Linked DNA regions of Caenorhabditis elegans. The protein of the gene in region 3 interacts with the protein of the main gene of each other region in a biochemical or structural test. Each region holds a gene or a part of one and is shown on either strand. Other genes may lie near its edges.

What was found.
Region 1: of the proteins of unc-45 (region 3) and ufd-2, one has a biochemical effect on the other in vitro, tested with the Caenorhabditis elegans proteins (one study listed by BioGRID).
Region 2: the proteins of unc-45 (region 3) and unc-54 form a complex in vitro, tested with the Caenorhabditis elegans proteins (one study listed by BioGRID).

What each region holds. Positions count from the first base shown.
Region 1 is NC_003280.10:8,059,503-8,067,616, forward strand, and holds ufd-2 (Ubiquitin conjugation factor E4 ufd-2), read left to right. Parts: upstream 1-3,238; 5' UTR 3,239-3,249; coding exon 3,250-3,306; intron 3,307-3,348; coding exon 3,349-3,675; intron 3,676-3,720; coding exon 3,721-4,642; intron 4,643-4,692; coding exon 4,693-5,602; intron 5,603-5,650; coding exon 5,651-6,005; intron 6,006-6,057; coding exon 6,058-6,441; 3' UTR 6,442-6,691; downstream 6,692-8,114. Other genes in the region: T05H10.8 (peroxiredoxin-like family protein), read left to right, coding at 1-39, 672-794, 843-930, 974-1,223, 1,574-1,777, 1,822-1,962; pdha-1 (Pyruvate dehydrogenase E1 component subunit alpha), read left to right, coding at 6,798-6,811, 6,943-7,512, 7,592-8,114. UniProt on the Caenorhabditis elegans protein: Acts as an E4 ubiquitin ligase mediating the assembly of polyubiquitin chains on substrates ubiquitinated by another E3 ubiquitin ligase. The elongation of preexisting ubiquitin chains preferentially targets ubiquitin 'Lys-29' and 'Lys-48' residues.
Region 2 is NC_003279.8:14,859,264-14,866,401, reverse strand, and holds the start of unc-54 (Myosin-4), read left to right. Parts: upstream 1-2,919; 5' UTR 2,920-2,951; coding exon 2,952-3,014; intron 3,015-3,576; coding exon 3,577-3,705; intron 3,706-3,753; coding exon 3,754-3,894; intron 3,895-4,375; coding exon 4,376-4,832; intron 4,833-4,912; coding exon 4,913-5,697; intron 5,698-5,749; coding exon 5,750-7,138. UniProt on the Caenorhabditis elegans protein: Required for muscle contraction.
Region 3 is NC_003281.10:488,603-495,671, reverse strand, and holds the start of unc-45 (UNC-45/Cro1/She4 central domain-containing protein), read right to left. Parts: upstream 4,126-7,069; 5' UTR 4,124-4,125; coding exon 4,035-4,123; intron 3,984-4,034; coding exon 3,856-3,983; intron 3,810-3,855; coding exon 3,683-3,809; intron 3,266-3,682; exon of another isoform or gene 2,837-3,265; intron 2,104-2,836; coding exon 2,025-2,103; intron 1,956-2,024; coding exon 1,827-1,955; intron 1,318-1,826; coding exon 677-1,317; intron 1-676. Other genes in the region: F30H5.5 (Salivary lipocalin), read right to left, coding at 6,220-6,440, 6,728-6,908.

The DNA.
Region 1 (8,114 bases), on a different chromosome or scaffold from region 3:
TACAAAGACTTACAGAATGGGAAGATGATCCAGCGATGAGTAAGATATGGGGGTGGTATTGTGTTGGGGGTAATCCATGATTTCATTGTTCAAATTATTTTTTTGATTATTGTGAACATAATAGCTTTTCTCAATAAGCCAGTAAGATGCCCTGGAAAAACTTCTAGATTTAACGTCTGGCTTCAAACCTGGAGCATCAATTCTTAGAAAATGACGTTTATGTAGTTCCTGTTGCTATTTAGACATCATGGCTACTACCAAACATAGGAAACGAGTAATCAGATTTATTAATATCTAGCCAAAGGATTATATGGGTATACACATTTAGACACATTTTTTCAGTGGAAGTCAAAAACCAAATGATTGGGGATTCAGAGAAAAATATTTAATCGAATGGGTTTCTGATATAAAACATAATTTATCTTATTGTTTGGAAAGTTATCAATTTCTCAGGAATTTTTTAATTTTACGAATTTCAAATTTATAGAACAGATGTTTTTGAAAAGATTTTTTGGAATGTTTTGATGAAAAACTATAATTTGATCTCTGAATACAAAAATCTGTAGCTATAAAAGAGGATCAGAATAAATGTTCAAATGAAAAATTCTCATAATTTTTATACCTCACAATTTGGTTCAAAATTCTATAAATTAAAAAAAATGAATTTCCAGAAGCTTCGGGTAAAGCACTACGAGAGTCGTTTGAAGCTTGGGACATCTTTCTTCGTGAAATTGATGATGAACTGGAAAAGACGCTTGGACCAGTCAAAAGTGCAGTTACCACTCTTCCAGAAGGTACTCCTTATTGTATTTCAAAATGTATTATTTTGATTTTTCTTTCAGATTCTGGAATTCTCGGACTTCAAAGCAAAACTATTTCTTATTATGTTACAGGAAGTGCTTTTGATTGTGTGCTCATTATTGTAGTTCGGTTTGTTTTTCTGATTTTCCAAATAAAAATGGTTAAACTTCAGAGCATTCAACAGGCCAGAAGTTAATGAGCATATTTTGGGATTATATAACAGAATTGATGAGTTAAGGAAACTAAGATGTGATGTATTCTTATTGACAAAGGGACCACCAATTGGATCAAGTGGTGGTGCATACATTAAGCTTATTGGAGTTCCTTTTCGTAAATTATATGATATGAATGAGGCTGAAGAACAATTAAAAATGAATAGAAAGTCTGCACTGGAATATAATGGATGGAGAACGCTTTGCAAGGTAAGAGTTATGACTTATTTTCATTATCTTCATAAAAGGGGACAAAAGGTATTTTATCTAACTTCCTTTTTGAACAAAAAATATGAATAAATTCATGAATTTGGCAAAAATATAATAAATAATGAAAGAAAAAAAAATATGGTCCAAAGTTTTCTTATCCAACTTTGAAACATTCACATCAAAATTTCAAGCTTCAAGATCAAGATTGGAAAAGAGTTTGTTGAAAGTAACAGTTTGTCGGAAATTCAAACAAATTTTTATTCTTTGGCGAACGTTGAGCAAAAAAGTTGATATCAAATTGCAACGTGGGAAGGATAAGCAATCATTGTGTATAAATTGGAAATTTTCAGGTTGTGGAAGCCTCTCTCGTCGAAGGAGATTCAATTGTTGCGAAAGAAGCATCAAGCTCAGAAGACTCAGTTTCTTACATTTCTCAAAAAGGTGGTACTGTACTTGTGGATAAATCAGGAGAAATTCTTTACAAGCACATTGAAGACGATAAATCAGATTCATGGCCAGATATTGATGAAATAGTAAAACTGGTTGAAGCAAGGGTATGCTTTTTTATTTTTAAAACTCTCTTAACAAACTTCTCCAGAACGCCAAATACTTGGAGAGCACTAATAATTCTACAATATCAATTCCGAAAGGTGGAAATCTGGCAAAAGTGAATTCGGAAATTTCTGTAACAAAGGAACTGGCGACGGACAAAAAGAAACCGTGTTGCGTAATTAGTTAAATATCTAGACTACATTTACATTAAAACCATACATGTTATCTTGGCTGATCTCATTATTAATTCATTATTTTAATATTAGATTATTTAACTATGAAATAACATAAACATTAATTTATTTTCAATTTGTTCCAATGTGGAACTTCCAAAAAAAAAACACTCGAATTTAATGTGGTTGTTATTTTACAGTGAAAAAAGATGTTCGGATGCTTTGATTTCTTTTGGTTGAAGATTTTCAGACTCGTTTATTAAACTTTTACTGTATTCTTGGAATAAAAAAGTTCAATTTATTTTCAATTTTCAATCAATTTAAAAATCTATCATCTGAAGAATAAAACACAACACTATTACATAGAAGTTTCAAGGCAAACCATATATGGCCATATGAATTTTTTTGATCGTTTCAATAGTTTTCTAAAAGTACAATAATCCACGGTAATCCTACAGTACCCTGGCCATATCCCGGAATATTTACGATTGCATCAGAGTAGCAACAAACGTGTGTATTGATTGATTTTTTATCGTATTGAAGGACATCTGCTGGTGGACCAGGTACCCGCCTATAAATGTCTAGAATTGGGTGAGTCTCACAATGACGTCCCTCGGGTCTCAATTGTACACAATCGATTGTTGAGTTGCGCTACTGTTTTCCTCTTGAAACTATAGTTAACTAAACGATTTTTATTGAAAGTGAGGTTTATTCTCGTTTAAAAAAAACAATATTTATTAAAGAATAAAATTTTGTAAAATCAAAAATGTGCGTTCCATCCACAGTCTCGTTCATTTATATACTTTTTTGTTGCTTAATTTATCTGCCCCTTCAAATTCTTATTGCTCTAAAAATATTCAAATTAAGTGGTGTCTGAAAATAGAATCATAAAGATACAATATTTAACACTCGTTCTTCCGAATTCAGTTTTCTACCGATGTTTCTCTCCTGCAAAAATGTGGTGTCTCGGTAGTGCAGCAAACGCGCTCCACTGCATGTTCATTGAGAGGCCGAAATGTCAGCGTCTTTGCAGCTGCATTGCTCCTTCGATTTTTCTATCTCTTGCGCGCGCGGTGCAAATGTCTTCCTACAGTTTTTGCTCTCGAAAATAATTTTATGTTTTCCTCTATACACAATTCTAGTCCAATATTGTTTTCATACAATCCTCTGCGTTTAATTTTTCCGTCTCATAAATGTTCCCATTACCGTAAAATATTTGTTATCAGACCTCTCACCATTCTCTTTATCGTTACTCTACTTATCAAAATCACGTGATCATCACGAATTTCCAGAAATCGTAGATGATTGAAGACGAGAAAGCAGGCTTGCAGCCGATGGACATAAGTGATGCTTCTGTGGTGCGTTTTTGCCTGACATTTTATATACTCATAGGCGATTAGTTCTTTTTTCAGGCAGATGTTGAAAGCAAAGACTTCCTCACAAGTCTCTTTGACTGTGAAGGTAAATCAGATGACAGAATGCTTCGTTACGCCGATGCGATAATCGATGTTCAAAATCTGAATTTTGATGTTTCTCCTCAGTGTCTGCAATCGAACATTGCCGAAATAATCACAAAGTTTGTACTTTTATCTCAAGATGGATCAAGAAGGGGGCTGTCAAGATCGTTCAATTTCATCGACCCTGATATCATTGCTGGATGTCGTGAAGAAGACGCCATCGAGTTTCTCTTAATCAATTTTGTTCGTTGCCATCATGAGCTTGGAAAGGTACTCTATCTAATATAGTTCTATTTTTAATTTAACAATTTTCAGAGCGGTACTTCAAATTGCTACAAGAAAACTCTCGAATCTACCAGGAAAGCAGTTTTCTCAGTTTTTGTGATGATACAGAGAGGCTACTTGGAGAGCCAACTTCGCAGCCAACATGCTAGTTTGGTGTTCACAAAAAGACTTCTGGAGGATACGGTGTCAAATGTTTTTCTAAGAACATTGGTTGAATACCTTGCAAGTACAGATGAATGCGATGAAGACGCTATTACAGAAACATTTAATCCAATTTTCGGGATTTTGCGGAGCGGAATTATTTGTCAACGCTTTGAAGACAATAAGGACGAAATTGTTCGTCAGATCCTTCGTGTGATGAACTTGCTTCTCAGTATCAGACTCCCTTCAAACGGACCTCGCCCACTGAGTAACCTACTTGTTAATCGAGAAGATTTTCTCCCAACGCCGTCCGAAAAAATACAAGGACGCGAGTTTGGTTTAATGTCCTTCCTAGGACCGTTCTTTTCGTACGGCCTCGAATCATCAGCAAGGCGTCCAAATCATCGAGTTTTTGTGGATTGTGAAGAAGATGCAAGAAAATATGATGGATCAGTCAACACTGAGCAGAAACTGTATTTCCAAAGAATGGATCCAATTCGAACTATGCTTCATCAATTGATGCTTCCGCTTGCTTCGGATCAAGGAAGTCGCAACAAAACTCTAAGATGGATTGCCACCATCATAAGCACCAATGACATTCGCACTCGTTCACATTATGATCCTTCAGATGTCTTGTGTGATCATTATATGACAAATTTTTTGTCCGTGATGTACATGTTTTCCGAGAAAATCGACTTGTCCAAAATTATCGTAGATTATCCGTTTTTACCGAGTTCGCTTATAAATATTTCCAAGGAGACTCGTCTCAAAATGGACGAATCAGGAGCAGTCGCTTTTGCTAGCCAATTCGGTAAGTTTCATTTTTCTTTCTCAAAAAATTAACTTGTTTTCTTTTTCCAGCAGATCGTCCAGATGAATATCATTTCTCTACAGTCTGCTTCTTCCTGACAATTGCAGCACAGAGGCTCGTTATTCCTCCATTGATGAATCAAATAAGTGAATACTCTCGACACCTTAAGGAGCTCAAGCATAAGATCAATGCGCTCAAAGAAAAACTAAATACTGTGTCAGGATTCGAGAGAGCTGAGGTGGAAAAGAAGTTGAACTATGAGACTGAACACTGGAAGCTCATGTCTCGTCATCTTTTATGTGTTAAGACACAAGCTCAAGATCCTGCATTAATGGCATCTTCTATGGATTTTGTCGATAAGCAGATGAAATTCATTTTGAATTTGCTTTGTGATAACTTGGATTTGCTCGGAGACGACAGTCAACTTCCAACTGAAGTATCACAAATGTTTTGTGCGCTCCCAGAATATTTTCTAGAGGATGCTCTCGATTTTTACATATTCGCTATTTCCAATGGAATGAAACTGCTCATGGAGAGAAATGCGGATTGGATTTCCCGTCTGACGGTCCTTTTCACACAATATCACTACATCAAAAGCCCATTTCTCGTTTCCAAACTGGTGAGAGTGCTGTCTTCTATTCAACCTCCATTATGGTTCAACGTGGTCAGACTTCGAATGGCACAAGAAAATTTATTGATGTGCATGATAAAGTTCTACTCGGATTTCGAAGACAATGGTGACTTTTATGAAAAGTTTAACGTTCGTGGAAATATCCAGTACATGTTGGAAAAAATGGAGGAAGATATGTTCTACAAAGGAAAGTTTATGGACATGGCAAGAGAATGCGGAGCAGAGTTCATTCGGTTTGTCAATATGGTGATTAACGATGCAACATGGTGTATAGATGAGAGCTTGTCTGGTTTGAAGAGTATCCATGATGTTGAGAAAAAGATGGCGAAGTAAGACTATTTCGAATGATAACTTAAAAATATAAATTTTATTTTCAGCAAAGTCGAATGGGACAACACAGATCAAGAAATCCGTAATCAGGATCTCGGCGTGTACGAGGAGGCAAAACGTAAAGTGAAGGGATGGCTTGGAACAGCCAAAAGTAATCTTAAATTGCTACTATCGATTACCGTAAACTCACCCGAACCTTTCCGTACTCCGGTTCTCGGCGAAAGACTTGCTGCAATGTTGAATCACAATTTATCGCAACTCATTGGTAGCAAGGCCTCCGAGTTGAAAGTCAAGGATCCAAGAAGTTATGGATGGGAACCACGGGAGTTTGTATCGTTGCTGATCTCAATCTATTTAAAGCTGAATATGCCTGCATTTGTTAAATACATAGCATACGACGAGGTTGGTTAACACATTTGTTTATTCAAAGAGATTTATTTTAATTATTTTTCAGCGTACCTACAGTCCTGAATTCTTCCATAATGCGATTGAATGCATGAGAAAGAATAGTATTGTTGGATTCAGTCAACTCGAAAGTTTCGAACATTTGGCCGAAGATGTTAAAAAAGAGTATGAGGCAAAAGCTGAGCTTGAAGAAGAGTATGATGATGTACCAGAAGAGTTCAAGGATCCTATTATGGATGCAATTATGGTTGATCCTGTCAAATTGCCATCAGGACACGTGATGGATCGTGCAGTCATCGAGAGGCATCTTCTCAGTACACCCAATAATCCGTTTAATCGTGCTCCCTTGTCGCACAATGAGCTTTCTCCCGATTCTGAGTTGAAGGCAAAGATTCAGGAATGGATTTGCCAGAAAAGAAATTCAAAGAAATAATTTTCTATCATATTCTATTGTTACCCAATTTTGTATTTATTGTACTTGACCATTGCACATGTGCAAAATGTCTGTAAATTTCACGCGTTCCTTTCATTTTATAAGTTTTTCTGGTCTCTCAATGGTCTAATCTTTCGGTTTCGGTTTCATTTTCTGCATGGATTCCTTAAAGTTGGTATTCTTGCCCTCTTTCATCAAACCTAAAAAACACGAGTAGTGCCTTGAATGTGAATAAATTTATACTAATTTACTTATTTTCTAAATTTTGGCTTCTATTGCGGTCTCCGATCCGCATACTTATATTTTTATTCTTTGTGAATTTCTTCACATATTCTGATTTTAGCCTTGAACCTGGAATGACTAAATTTCTGTAGGTTTATAACGAACGGTGTCGTATTGTTTTGTGATTTGTTACATGTCAATAACTTATAATATTTATACGTTCCCAGTCATCCCAAATCCGATTAATTTTTATTTTTGAAATATATTTACTGCTTTCAGTAGCTTGGTACATCTGGAACGTATTTGGTCGACGGCAATGTCTTTATTCGCGAGACAACTTCAATCCTTGACTGCCAGTGGAATCCGCACACAGCAAGTTCGTCTTGCGAGCACGGAAGTATCATTCCACACAAAGCCATGCAAACTTCATAAACTTGACAATGGACCAAACACCTCTGTCACCTTGAACAGAGAAGATGCTCTCAAGTACTACCGTGACATGCAGGTCATTCGTCGCATGGAGTCTGCTGCTGGAAACTTGTACAAGGAGAAGAAAATCCGCGGTTTCTGTCATCTCTACTCTGGTCAAGAAGCTTGTGCCGTCGGAATGAAGGCTGCAATGACAGAAGGAGATGCCGTCATCACTGCTTACCGTTGTCACGGATGGACCTGGCTTCTTGGAGCTACCGTAACCGAGGTTCTTGCTGAATTGACCGGTAGAGTTGCCGGAAATGTTCACGGAAAAGGAGGATCCATGCATATGTACACAAAGAATTTCTATGGAGGAAACGGAATTGTTGGAGCACAACAGCCACTTGGAGCTGGAGTTGCATTGGCCATGAAATACCGGTATGTTAACAAATTTTGATGTATTTTTTTACGAGAACAACTCATATTTTTTCATCTAAATATTTTATTTTATTTTCAGTGAACAAAAGAATGTATGTGTTACTTTGTATGGTGATGGTGCCGCTAATCAAGGACAACTTTTCGAGGCGACTAACATGGCTAAACTTTGGGATCTTCCTGTTCTGTTCGTTTGCGAAAACAATGGATTCGGAATGGGAACTACTGCTGAACGTTCATCTGCTTCTACCGAGTATTATACTAGAGGAGACTATGTTCCTGGAATCTGGGTTGATGGTATGGACATTCTCGCTGTTCGCGAGGCTACCAAGTGGGCTAAGGAATATTGTGACAGTGGTAAAGGACCACTTATGATGGAAATGGCCACCTATAGATACCATGGACACTCTATGTCTGACCCAGGAACCAGCTACCGTACCCGTGAAGAGATTCAAGAAGTTCGTAAAACAAGAGACCCAATTACTGGATTCAAGGACCGTATCATTACATCTTCATTGGCCACAGAGGAAGAACTTAAGGCTATTGACAAGGAAGTTCGCAAAGAGGTCGATGAAGCGTTGAAGATTGCTACATCAGACGGTGTT
Region 2 (7,138 bases), on a different chromosome or scaffold from region 3:
AAGAAAGTGCGAAAGGTGGAAAAGGGCGAGGGAAAAGAGAACCAAACCGCCGAGGAAGAACAGCTGTTTTGGTAAAAAATCCGACTATTGTGCAACTCCTATCTTTGATGTCCATTCGTTATCGACTTCAACATCTTCCAAAGATGAACATTGAACATTTTAAATGGTACAGCGTTGAAATAATATTTTCTCATTTTATTCAAAGTCAGTTGAAATAATTCAATGCAGTTGTTTCTAATATTTTGACAAAGGTTGCAATCTCAAGTTTTGCATTTCCAGTGAAGGCATTTTTGATACTTGAATAAACCTGTAAACAATGCTTCAGAAGACTATCTGAAAAAATGCGCTCCATTTCGATAGCACCATTTTTCAAGAGCTATTTAACTTTTGCAACTCGCATTACATACGTTCTCGTTTCCCATGCTAACAGAAAATTAAAAGTATGTTGAAAAACACATTTTTGAATAATAAAACATTATGTGCCAATGTAAGTCCGCTTGTTAAAATTATCATCTTCTTTAGATATTTTTTGAATGGCATATAGGGCATTTATTTGAAAAATTTCATTTTTCGCTTTATAAAAACATCGTAAAATGAAAAACAAAAATACTTGATATAATTACCGAATAAACCCTTCGATCGACTCAGTTAAATATCAGTGTTGTATGTGTGTGTGTGTGTGTGTTGTCATCATTTCGTTTTCCGATGCTTCCTCTTCTTCTTCTCCATTCCGTATTACACAAGACTTGGAGGGGAAGAAATGTCGGTGGCAAAAAGAAAGAAGAGTTACGGATATAAGAATTGAAGCAATCGTGCAGTGTGTTTTTGTGTTGTTTTTTAAGTTGTAGAAGTATCAAAATATAGAGGAATTTATGAAGTCACCGCTCAAATGTGAATATGTTAACGAATCTAAAAATGGTTCGGTAACCAGTACTAAAGAAAATATGGTTAAACTGCGACAGCCACTAGTGAAATTTTTCCACCTGCCACTTAGTCAAATCTGTTGAGCTTAAACTGGCTCGTCACTGAGGCTGGGTAATACAGGAAGTTTGGTTCATTGTACAGTTGGGTTTACATTTAAAAGAATATATCACAGAAAATCAAAGAACGTGTAATTTATCTTATCATCCCGGAAATTTCTTCCAACTGACCCTTGGCTTTTGTGTATCTCTTATTACAATCAAAAAACCTCGTCTCCTCCCGGTGGAACCCAGAAAATGCTGCTGGATGCTCCAAGCGCTCCCACATGCCTTCAAACTCCTAGGCGCCTGGAGATAGTGTTGCAATCAAGGAGAGCGCGAGACGAAGAATCAGTTGTTACTTTTGTCTGGGTCTCTAGGGGTTTCGTGATATTCCCGTGTTGTCTTACAGCATCCGCGAATTGTTTTCGTCAGGATGAAGTATGAGATTGTGGGATTTGGAGAGAAGCTGATTTGCTGGAGAAGCACAAAAATCTGAAGAAAATGTTTGAAGAAGATAAAGCAAACGGAAAGACTATCCAGTTACATACATACTATCATGAGAATGATTTATGAGCCTTTTCGTAAATTTTTAGACAGATACTATTATCAGGAGACCTTTTAAAGCAAACGCGACAACTTCATAGTAGTTACCAAGGCTCGAAAAATTGATTGGTGCAACTTGAAGTTCGAATGAGTAGAATTGATAAGTATTACAGGTGCCTCCAAATCGATTGTCCGCCACAATGATATACCTCGAATCCATCTGATCAAAATTATTACTGTAGCATTGAATCGCAGTACCGTAATCAAATATTAAATATTTTTGCCCCCCTCTCCTCTACGTATCAATAAAAATAGTCTTAAAACTTACTTCGACTCCAAAGTAGGTTAGTATCAATTTTGCAGACTTTATTTGTAATGCATTTCTAACAAGGAAATTTTTACATTTTACCCTCAAACTTCAAAATGAGACATGTTTCATCTGAAGTGTTTTAGATTATGTCACGAAAGGTATGTCACTGCAAAATTTTAAGCAGCAATACTTTTCTCTCAACCCCTAAAATATCGATCTGAAATTGTCTCATTTAACCACTACTTTAGAGACCTGCATAATTGCTCTAAATGCTTTTTTGCAAACTTTGAAAGTTTTTCAGGAAGTGTAGGTAAACACTCCGGGAGGTTTTTAAAGAATTGTGATTTTTTTGGAGAATTGGTCTAAAAATTTTTTTGATTTTTTTTTTGAAAGAATTGTTATAACAATTTTCTTGATTTTTTTGCAAAAAAAATTAAAGGAAAACTGCACTGAAACAATTTCAGATCAACAATTTTAGGGTTGATATTAGAGCTTTGCCGCTTAGAATACTGCAGTGAGTATTTTCGGTTTTCACTGGTCTCTGTAAAAAGAGTAATGCAAAGGCAAGTTAACTAGGTCGTAAATGTATTGATTTGCTTAAAATCTGAAGATCTAGTGGTGAACCGTGGAAGATTATCAAGAGGAGGCTGAAGATCTGTTTAAGAACCATTAATCAAACTGGTATTCTATTTTCACTGGTTGTATGTAAACATTCTATCTTATTCCTTTTATCACTGTTCTGCACTTTCCTATAAAAAAAGTTGACCGACCGTACTCTCTGAATTCATTTTTCCCGATCTTACCAACTCCCGATCTATCTCTATCCCTGGTTTTTTCTTCGTGCTCCAATGGAATTCTTGAGACTTCCACTATCTTCTCTGGCACCCTCCACTACGCGTAGGCGTCTCTCGCTTCGTGTATTCCCGGGAAGCCGGGTTCCCGTCTCTCCCGCCGCTGCCGCTGCCGCACACAGCTTTACACCTCGTAGAATCCCCAAAGAGGGGCGTGGCTTGCGGGTGCCAACATCCTCCTGCCGAGGAAGAAGCAGGCACTCATCACTCGCATCATCAACCTCGACTAAGGGAGCACCACATTAGTTTTGAGGTAGAGAAACCATTTGAAAGAAGCGAGAAATCATGGAGCACGAGAAGGACCCAGGATGGCAATATCTCCGCCGTACCAGAGAGCAGGTTTTGGAGGTGAGTATTTATTTTTTATTTATTTATTTTTCTTTCATTTGTCTTTATTGTTATGCTCATTTCTATAGAGTAAATCGTATAGTACTCCATAAGTATCTAATTTTAACAAAACTGAGCATTTATTTTTGAAATTCTAGATTTTTAACATACAACTGAGTTAAAGTCTGCCATTTTACACTTATAGATTTTTTAAATTCAGGTAGAAGATTTGAGCTTGCCTTGTAATCCTTGTAATCAATGTTTATTTCTGTTTTCTAATTTTTCATAGATTTAGCTTCAAGATCATCTTTCCCTTGAAATCATTGAAATCTTCCTTTCTTAAATTTTTGCATTGCACTTGGAATTTTGTGACACATTGTGCTGCAGTAGTACTGTATTTTGAGACGGCACATTTATTTTGACTACACCACAAGCTTAACCTTGATTTTACTTTTTGATTCCATTCCATTCATGGGTCTAAAGTGTGAAGCGGTTTAGACCATTTTTCAACACAAGTTGGTATTCTTTAGAAGTGATATATTTCTGAATTCTGATCTCTTTTGTACCATTATTGTAATTTCAGGATCAATCTAAGCCTTATGACTCCAAGAAGAACGTCTGGATCCCAGATCCAGAAGAGGGATACCTTGCCGGAGAAATCACCGCCACCAAGGGAGACCAGGTCACCATCGTCACCGCTCGCGGAAATGAGGTTCGTTTTTAAGCTAATGATTACGGTTTTCAATGTAGTGTGATTCAGGTCACCCTCAAGAAGGAGTTGGTTCAAGAAATGAATCCACCAAAGTTCGAGAAGACCGAAGACATGTCCAACTTGTCTTTCCTCAACGACGCCTCTGTCCTCCATAACTTGCGTTCCCGTTACGCTGCTATGCTCATCTACGTAAGTTTCATTGAAACTTAAAGTTAAGCATTGAGAATCATTCATATTCTTCTTCTAAATTCCCATAAAATCCCGAAACTCCTTCCCTCTATCTTCTTTTCTTCTCGTTTTCAAATGTTTCTCTCTATCCCATTCTCTCATCAATTGAGTGGGATGAGGCTATCTCTGCCTCTCTTCTGAATCTCTGAACCATCTTACATTACACTGTGGATGACGGGAGCCCCACAGGCTCCCTTGCATCAGATACTGCCATTGGGGATGGCAAAGAAGAGAGAAGGTATTGTGAGGATATATTTTTCTAAGAAAAAACGTTTGAAGAAAAGAAGATGAAGAAGATCTGCTTGATTCATTGCACAAGTTAGAAGTAACAGGGGTCTATATTTCGAAGAACTTAAAGGGAATGCAACTGAACATAAAATTAAACAAAGGGATTGAATCCTGCAGTATTTAAAAATCGAAACTAGAATGTTTCCTATTTCAGACCTACTCCGGACTTTTCTGCGTTGTCATCAACCCATACAAGCGTCTCCCAATCTACACCGACTCTTGCGCCCGTATGTTCATGGGAAAGAGAAAGACAGAAATGCCACCACATTTGTTCGCTGTCTCTGACGAAGCCTACCGTAACATGCTCCAAGACCACGAGAACCAGTCTATGCTCATTACCGGAGAATCTGGAGCCGGAAAGACTGAGAACACCAAGAAGGTTATTTGCTACTTCGCCGCTGTCGGTGCCTCCCAACAGGAAGGTGGAGCTGAAGTTGATCCAAATAAGAAGAAGGTCACCCTTGAGGACCAAATCGTCCAGACCAATCCAGTACTTGAAGCCTTCGGTAACGCCAAGACTGTCCGTAACAACAACTCATCCCGTTTCGGAAAGTTCATCCGTATCCACTTCAACAAGCACGGACGCCTCGCATCTTGCGATATCGAGCATTGTGAGTTACTTTTTGATTTATATTCTAGCATAGCTCAATAAAAATTATGCAACTATTGTTTTAAACTATAAATTTTGCAGACTTGCTCGAGAAATCTCGTGTCATCCGTCAAGCTCCAGGAGAGCGTTGCTACCACATCTTCTACCAAATCTACTCTGACTTCCGTCCAGAGCTCAAGAAGGAACTTCTTCTTGACTTGCCAATCAAGGATTACTGGTTCGTCGCCCAGGCCGAGTTGATCATTGACGGAATCGATGACGTCGAAGAGTTCCAACTTACTGATGAAGCTTTCGACATCCTCAACTTCTCTGCCGTCGAGAAGCAGGATTGCTACCGCCTCATGTCCGCTCACATGCACATGGGTAACATGAAGTTCAAGCAACGCCCACGTGAAGAGCAAGCTGAGCCAGATGGTACCGATGAGGCCGAGAAGGCATCCAACATGTACGGAATCGGATGCGAGGAGTTCCTCAAGGCTTTGACCAAGCCACGTGTCAAGGTCGGAACCGAATGGGTATCCAAGGGACAGAACTGCGAACAAGTCAATTGGGCTGTCGGAGCCATGGCCAAGGGTCTCTACTCCCGTGTGTTCAACTGGCTTGTCAAGAAGTGTAACCTCACTCTGGATCAAAAGGGTATTGATCGTGATTATTTCATCGGTGTGCTCGATATCGCCGGTTTCGAAATCTTCGACTTCAACTCCTTCGAGCAGTTGTGGATTAACTTCGTAAACGAGAAGCTCCAACAATTCTTCAACCATCACATGTTCGTCCTTGAACAGGAAGAATACGCCCGTGAGGGTATTCAATGGGTCTTCATCGATTTCGGACTTGATTTGCAAGCGTGTATCGAACTTATTGAGAAGGTAAGATTGAATTGAAATTTTAAATGTATTTTGATCAATTCTTATTTTTCAGCCACTCGGTATTATCTCCATGCTTGATGAAGAGTGTATCGTACCAAAGGCTACTGATTTGACCCTCGCTTCCAAGCTTGTCGATCAACATCTTGGCAAGCATCCAAACTTCGAGAAGCCAAAGCCACCAAAGGGAAAGCAAGGAGAAGCTCACTTCGCCATGCGGCACTACGCCGGAACTGTGCGTTACAACTGCTTGAACTGGCTCGAGAAGAACAAGGACCCCCTCAACGACACCGTTGTCTCGGCAATGAAACAATCCAAGGGAAACGATCTTCTCGTCGAGATCTGGCAAGACTACACCACCCAGGAAGAGGCCGCCGCTAAGGCCAAGGAGGGAGGTGGCGGTGGAAAGAAGAAGGGAAAGTCCGGATCTTTCATGACCGTCTCTATGCTCTACAGAGAGTCTCTCAACAACTTGATGACTATGCTCAACAAGACTCACCCACATTTCATCCGTTGTATCATCCCCAACGAGAAGAAGCAATCTGGTATGATCGATGCCGCTTTGGTTCTCAACCAGCTTACCTGCAACGGAGTGTTGGAAGGAATCAGAATTTGCAGAAAGGGATTCCCCAACAGAACCCTTCATCCAGACTTCGTCCAACGTTACGCCATCCTTGCCGCCAAGGAGGCCAAGTCCGATGACGACAAGAAGAAGTGCGCCGAGGCTATCATGTCCAAGCTCGTCAACGACGGATCCCTCAGCGAGGAGATGTTCCGTATCGGTCTCACCAAGGTCTTCTTCAAGGCTGGAGTTCTTGCTCATCTTGAAGACATCCGTGACGAGAAGCTCGCCACCATCCTCACCGGATTCCAATCCCAAATCAGATGGCATTTGGGTCTCAAGGACCGCAAGCGCCGTATGGAACAACGTGCCGGACTTCTCATTGTTCAGCGCAACGTCCGTTCCTGGTGCACTCTCCGTACCTGGGAATGGTTCAAGCTTTACGGAAAGGTCAAGCCAATGCTCAAGGCCGGAAAGGAAGCCGAGGAGCTCGAGAAGATCAACGACAAGGTTAAGGCCCTCGAAGACAGTCTCGCCAAGGAGGAGAAGCTTCGCAAGGAGCTCGAGGAGTCCTCTGCCAAGCTCGTCGAAGAGAAAACTTCTCTCTTCACCAACTTGGAATCCACCAAGACTCAACTCTCCGATGCTGAGGAAAGACTTGCCAAGCTTGAGGCTCAACAAAAGGATGCCTCCAAGCAACTCTCCGAGCTCAACGATCAACTCGCTGACAACGAAGACCGTACCGCTGATGTTCAGCGCGCTAAGAAGAAGATCGAGGCCGAGGTCGAGGCTTTGAAGAAGCAGATCCAAGACTTGGAAATGTCTCTCCGCAAGGCTGAGTCTGAGAAGCAATCCAAGGATCACCAGATCAGATCCCTTCAA
Region 3 (7,069 bases):
TTGCTTTTTTGAGTTCAAAATCTTAAAAATTTCAAGTTTTTCGAATAAAAACAATTTTTTTTCGATTTTTCGAGTTCAATAATCTAAAAAATTATGTTTTCCGAATCAATCATTTTTTCCGATTTCCCATTTTTCCTTTTCAGTTATTAAATTTTTTTCGATTTTTTCTCGAGCTTCCAAGAATTTTTTAAAAAAACTTATATTTTTCTTTACTTTCTAATTTCGGGGAAAATAAAAATGTTGTAAATTTTCTTCTTTTGAATGTTTGTCGATTTAAAGTTTTTTAAATAGTTTTTTTCAAAAATCGAAAATTTTAGTATTTTTTTCTAGTTTTTTTTTTTAAGTTTTTTGTTGATATTTTAGAAAAAATCCACAATTTTTTTCTTTTTTTAAAACCATTTTTAAAATATTTATTTTTTAAAAATCTATTTTTGAATAGTAAAAATCAAAACAAAATTCAATTTTTTAAATTTAAAAAATCCGATTTTTCAGATTTCGATTCGAGGAAAAATTATTTTTTTATAATTTTTTTTCGCTTTTTCAAATTCAAAAATTTAAAAATTTAAACGTTTTTCGAATTAATTTTTTTTTGTTGCTTTTTCCAGTTCAAAAATCTAACAATTATTAAGTTTTTCGAATCAAAAAACGTTTTTTTTCCGATTTCCTTGTTCCGTACTTAAAGAACATATCGACTTTCTCCTTAAAAATAGTCCGTTTCGTATCAAAAACCATATCCTCCTCTAATCTCTGCAAACAAATTGCCACGTGTTGCCGAGTCTCCGCAGAAACCGGATATTCACACAGTTCGGGTATCTGACTTGCCACGTCAAGCAACGCGAGCAATCCACGTTCTTCCACAAACTTCCACGACCATCCACGTGGAATTCCACCGTCCATGTGCATCAGATTTTTCAGGAATAAATCGATGCACGTCTCACGCTGAACTGCACCAACTTTCGGGTCCTGAAGCATCTCTTGAAGCTCCAAGAGCACACGAATTATCCAGATTTTATTGGCTTCTGCCACCTCTGGATCCGGCTTCATCTCCTTTTGCCGATCCATTTTAGCCATTGCATTGAAGACACGTTGCACCAGAATTCCAGTGGCATCCACAAAGTCTTTTGTGGATTTTTTGCACATTAGCCGGCACACAAAACGGACGGATTTTGGGCCATCTGGGTCGTGCATAGCTAGGAATTTCATGCATCTGACGCTATTTTTGATGGTCTCGTCGAGAATTCGGATTGCGGTTACGGTAACCTCCTCGTTTTCCGATGCGTCGTTGATTAGGTTCAGGACGAATGGAACAAGTGCGCCCTGGAAATATGGAAAAATTAGAATTTTTTTTTTGGGTATTTTTGCAGGAAAATATTCAAATTCGGGATACTTTGATAAAATTAAAATTTTGAAAAATAATTTTTTTTAAACTGATTTTTTAAAAGCTAAAAAGTTGAATTTTCAAATGTTTCTACAAAATCGGAAAATTGGCAAAAATTAAGGTTTTCTCGTTGTAGCAAAATAAATTTTAAAAATCTACAAAAAATTACAATTTTCAGTTTAAAAAAATTTCTTTAAAAAAATTAAAATTGAACTTTCGACAATTAAATTTAAGGAATATCGGAAAAATTTAGATAAAAACTGCAAAATTTTTCGAAAAACAATCTGAAAATTGCTCTGAAAATCTAGAAAATTCAGTTTTTTTTTGCATTTTTTTTTCAAATATACGGTATATTTTTCAATTTATTTCCATTTTTTAAATTTTTTTTTAAGTTCCATTAAATTTTCCCAGTAAATGTAGATTTTTCGTCCAGCTTCCAAAACTATACCTGATTCCAAACTCCTGTTGCTCCGGATTCAGATTCTCTGCACAAAACCAACAAGTTGTTCAACGCAGTCATTTTCTGTTCGGTGTCCTTCGCCTCACCACGGAACGCTAGCTTTTCCATGTCAGTTACCTGAGAAAATTTCGGGGTTTTTCAATGAAAATTCATTTAAAATTCGTGGTTTCAGGTCACAAAACCAACCTTATTAGCCAGTGAAGTGGTCTGCTTAATCTTATCATTGTTGGCTTTTACGAGACGCTGAAGAACTTCAACAATTCCTCTGAAAAATAGAAATTTGAGTGAAATTATTGAATTTTTAAGTGCTTAAAAGTGGAATTGTGAGAAAATCTTGGGTCTGCTAAATATTTAGCATACCCAACTTTGGTCTGCTAAATATTTAGCATACCCATCTTTGGTCTGCTAAATATTTAGCATACCTATCTTTGGTCTGCTAAATATTTTTCTTTGGGTCTGCTAAATATTTAGCATACCCAACTTTGGTCTGCTAATTATTTAGCATACCCATCTTTGGTCTGCTAAATATTTAGCATATCCATCTTTGGTCTGCTAAATATTTAGCATACCTATCTTTGGTCTGCTAAATATTTTTCTTTGGGTCTGCTAATTATTTAGCATACCCATCTTTGGTCTGCTAAATATTTAGCATATCCATCTTTGGTCTGCTAAATATTTAGCATACCTATCTTTGGTCTGCTAAATATTTTTCCTTGGGTCTGCTAAATGTTTAGCATACCTATCTTTGGTCTGCTAAATATTTTTCCTTGGGTCTGCTAAATATTTAGCATACCCATCTTTGGTCTGCTAAATATTTTTCCTTGGGTCTGCTAAATATTTAGCATACCCAACTTTGGTCTGCTAATTATTTAGCATACCCATCTTTGGTCTGCTAAATATTTAGCATACCCAACTTTGGTCTGCTAAATATTTAGCATACCCAACTTTGGTCTGCTAATTATTTAGCATACCCAACTTTGGTCTGCTAAATATTTTTCTTTGGGTCTGCTAATTATTTAGCATACCCATCTTTGGTCTGCTAATTATTTAGCATACCCATCTTTGGTCTGCTAAATATTTAGCATATCCATCTTTGGTCTGCTAAATATTTAGCATACCTATCTTTGGTCTGCTAAATATTTTTCCTTGGGTCTGCTAAATATTTAGCATACCCACCTTGGGTCTGCTAAATATTTAGCATACCCTTCTTTGGTCTGCTAAATATTTAGCATACCTATCTTTGGTCTGCTAAGTATTTAGCATACCTATCTTTGGTCTGCTAAATATTTTTCCTTGGGTCTGCTAAATATTTAGCATACCCAACCTCCTCAAATTTTGAAAAAAAAATTTTTTCGCTGATTTTTTAGCTGCAAATTTGAAATTTCCTACGTTTTTCTTCAAGATAAATTTTTAAACATGTTTTAGTGGATTTTTCAGTTTCATTTTGCATATTTTTTCACAGAAAAAAGTGAGAAAATTACAAATTTAAAACTAAATATTTAGAAAATTTATAAATGTTGGCATTTTAAACAAAAATTGTGAGTTTCTGTAGATTTTTAAAAGTTATTTTGCTATTTTCGATGAGAAAACCTTGATTTTTGTCAATTTTTCTATTGGCATGCTATATTTCGGAGAGAAACGTCTGAAAATTCTAATAATTTTTAGCTTTAAAAATCAGTTTCGGGAGGTTGGGTCTGCTAAATATTTAGCAGACCCAAAATTTGCAACTTTTGCATTTTTCACTGAAATTTGGTCATAAAAACTTTGAAATATAACTGGAAAGTGCCAGAAAAAATTATTTTTCTTTTAATTTTCATCGGTTTTCGCCTAGTTTTTCCACGCACTTATCATTTGGCGAGAGCCTCAGAGCCTCTTTTGCGTCTTGAAAAGCTGGCCCAACATTTCCAAGCTGTTCACGAGCCAGCGATCGTCTGAAGAGAGCTTTTACATCGGCCCCGTCGAATTCCAGAGCTGTAAATTTAGGTTTTTCAGCAAATTTTCCAGGTTTTTTGTAAACCTTTCGTGCAATCCGATTGTGCTCCTTCAAAATCGTCTCTTTTCAGCCGAGCCATTGCTCGATTTCTGTACAAAACCGGCCGAAGAGCCTTGTCTTCGTCAGTGGTGAGTTGGAGAGCTTCAGTGTATCTGGAAATCAGTTTAATTTCAGTTTTCCACTGAAATTTCAGAAAAACCAACAATTCATCAGCTTTTATATAATCCTGATCCTTAACTGCAGCATTTCCCTCGTCGCGGATCTCCTCCGCAGTCTGTACTCGAGCAACCATTGCTGAAAACCAAAAAAAAAAAACTATAAAATCATTATTTTTGTCAGGAGATACTATTAATTCGACGGATAAAAGAGGAAAAATCGACAAAAATGGTGTAAAACTGATTAAAATATCATTTTTGAAACTAATTTTCAAGAAAAATGCACTTAAAAGCTGTTTTTATTGAGTTTTAGAGTAATTTTCCCGAAAAGTTTCCCGCAAAAAAAAATTAACAAAAAAGGAAAAATGCAAGCGCGCTCCACCGGCACGTGTTAGAGAGTGTGAAGCGCAGACTATTTTTTGGAGGGATTTCAAATTTAATTTTTATGAAAACTTTGATTTTAAAGCTAAAACTAACGAATTTTGGAGATGTATAACATCCTAAAATTGACTTTCTTTTCTTTTTTTTTGAAATAAAAATTTTCACTGCAAGAAAATTTGTTAATGTCCTGGAAAAATGAATGAAGAATAACGGTAAAAAATCCAGTTGCCGCGGGAGCTCCGCCCAGGTGCTCTGGAGCTTTCGAAAAGCTCCCAGGCGGGAGAGATATCCTAGGGAATAGAAGAGAAATAGAGATAACGAGTGGGAAAAGTTCGGGAAAAGTCGAAAATATGTGGGGTTTCTGGAAAAATCCGAATTTATATAGTAAAAAAAATATATTTTTAGGTTTTTTTCAGGGGATTAGAGGATTTCAGAGAAAAAACGGAATTTGAGTGGATTTAAACAAAGGAAATCATCATTTCAGGATAAACTCAATATCCCAAATGGGTCTGCTAAATATTTAGCAGACCAAAGTTGGGTATGCTAAATATTTAGCAGACCAAAGTTGGGTATGCTAAATATTTAGCAGACCAAAGTTGGGTATGATAAATATTTAGCAGACCCATAAAACATCGTTTCAGATTTTCGTCATGAAAATAATTATATGGGCAACCACAAGGAAAATTTTTTCTCAAAAACTACGGCACTCGGATTTCTCAAAAACTACGGCACGAACCGATAAATTTTCTTGAAATCAGAAAAACGTGTGCCTTTAAGGAGTACTGTAGTCGTCAACTCCTTCAAAATTTCTGGTATATTTAAATATATTTTTTCACGTGGAATACTAGAGTTTCTAAATAAATATGTACTGCCGTGAGGCTCTAGTGCTATACCCGGCGGCTATGGGTCGGCTGAAATATTTCTGGAATTTTTGATATTTTTTTTTCGGAAAAAATCAAAATAAAAATTTCATAGTATTTACATTAAAATAAATTATATAAATTCAAAAAAAGGACCTAAAATTCATAAAAAACCTAGAAATTCTTAGGTTTACTAAACCCACTAAACCCGAACTTTATGCAAAAATCGATGAAAAACGAATAGAAACGTCTGTTCAGCGGAAAGGGCAGTGTAGTAGTGTCCGGCCCCCGACGGATAGTGTAAAATTACGGCGGAATCCGCAGATCCTCTCCGGTGGTGGGAGCCCTTGCTGTTTGAATAATCTGTCTGCGTCTCTCTTCAGATCTTATAACTTTTTGTGTGCATGCACTGTGAGCAAATCATGTGAAGATTTCCTATAACTTGAGACTGTCTTGGGGTGGAAAATGGGGGTAAAATAATAATGCACAAAGGGGGTCTCGTAGTACAATTCGAAAGGGAGAAAAGGAGGAAGCAATGAAGGAGGAAGCAATGAAATGAGTCCCGCTTATTTCCTTTCGATGTTCGAAAAAACAAACATAATTCATTAGAAGACCAGCCACTGAACCAGAGCGAACTCCATGAATTTGAATTTCGTGCAAAATTTTTAGAAAAAAGAAATTTCAAATAACTCATATTTGAACTTCTAAATAGAAAAAAAAAATTGTTTAAATATTTTGAAAAAAAAAAATTTAAATTCGAGTTTCCCGCCAAATTTATATGAAAAGTTAAAGTTTGTCTAGATTTTTAGCATATTGTAAACTTTTTAAATAGAAATTCGAATTTCCCGCCAATTTTTTCTCGAAAGCCTGTGATTTTAATTTCTCAGCTAATGAGAATTCATATCTTACAAGGTTTTGCAGCCACGTTCAATTTGTTAAAAATTTATTCAAAACCAAGTTCCCCGAAAAATAATTATTCAAAAAAATAAAAATTATGTGAAATTAAACGCAGTCCATCCGGTGGAACTTTCGCTACTTTTTCTCAAAGTCACATACAAATCCATTGTTCGTTCGGGTTTCTTCATCAAAATCTTAGTGTCAATAAATTGGGAGTACGGTGGGTTACGTCCGTTGAAGAATTCCGCGTAAAGTGGTACGATACTGTCATAGCTGCCCCATACCAGCATCACAGTGTTGATATTGATTTTTGGATCTGGAATTTTGGATCTGGCTGATTTATAATTTTTCAGAACGGTAGGTTTTCTACAGTAAGCACTTCAGTATTCGTAATTTCTTTTGTACTCCTACAGTACACTCATGTATGAAGTTACTACACTGTACACACACATACCACACGTTACAGTAGTCATTACAGTGATTCTCTAATCCCTCACTTCTAGAATATACCAACAGTCTTTAGTGCTTTAAATCGCACAAGTCCATTTCAGCCTAAAGTGGTACGGTACCGTACTCCTAACCGTATGGAACAACGCAACTTACTGTTATAGTCCAGAGTAAAAAGTTGCCGAGTCGCCGTTTCATTCATTGACCGTGTCGCAACTTGGATAGCTTTTATATGAGCATTGGTGATTTCCAGTATTTCTGCATCACTAGTTGCTTTATGGAACCACGAGGCAGACGTTGTTGCGATAAGGCACAGAAGGAAGGTAAATGAAAGCATCGGAGATTGATCTTTTTGAGCTCCGCGGACATTTTAATGGATAGTCTGGCTGAGAATTTAATTCGATTTGATATGATCAAACATCAAAATTTTGCGGGGGATTCTGGGAGCCCCCAATGTTTTAATGATTTTTGTGATTGTTCAATAGTTAGGATTCATTT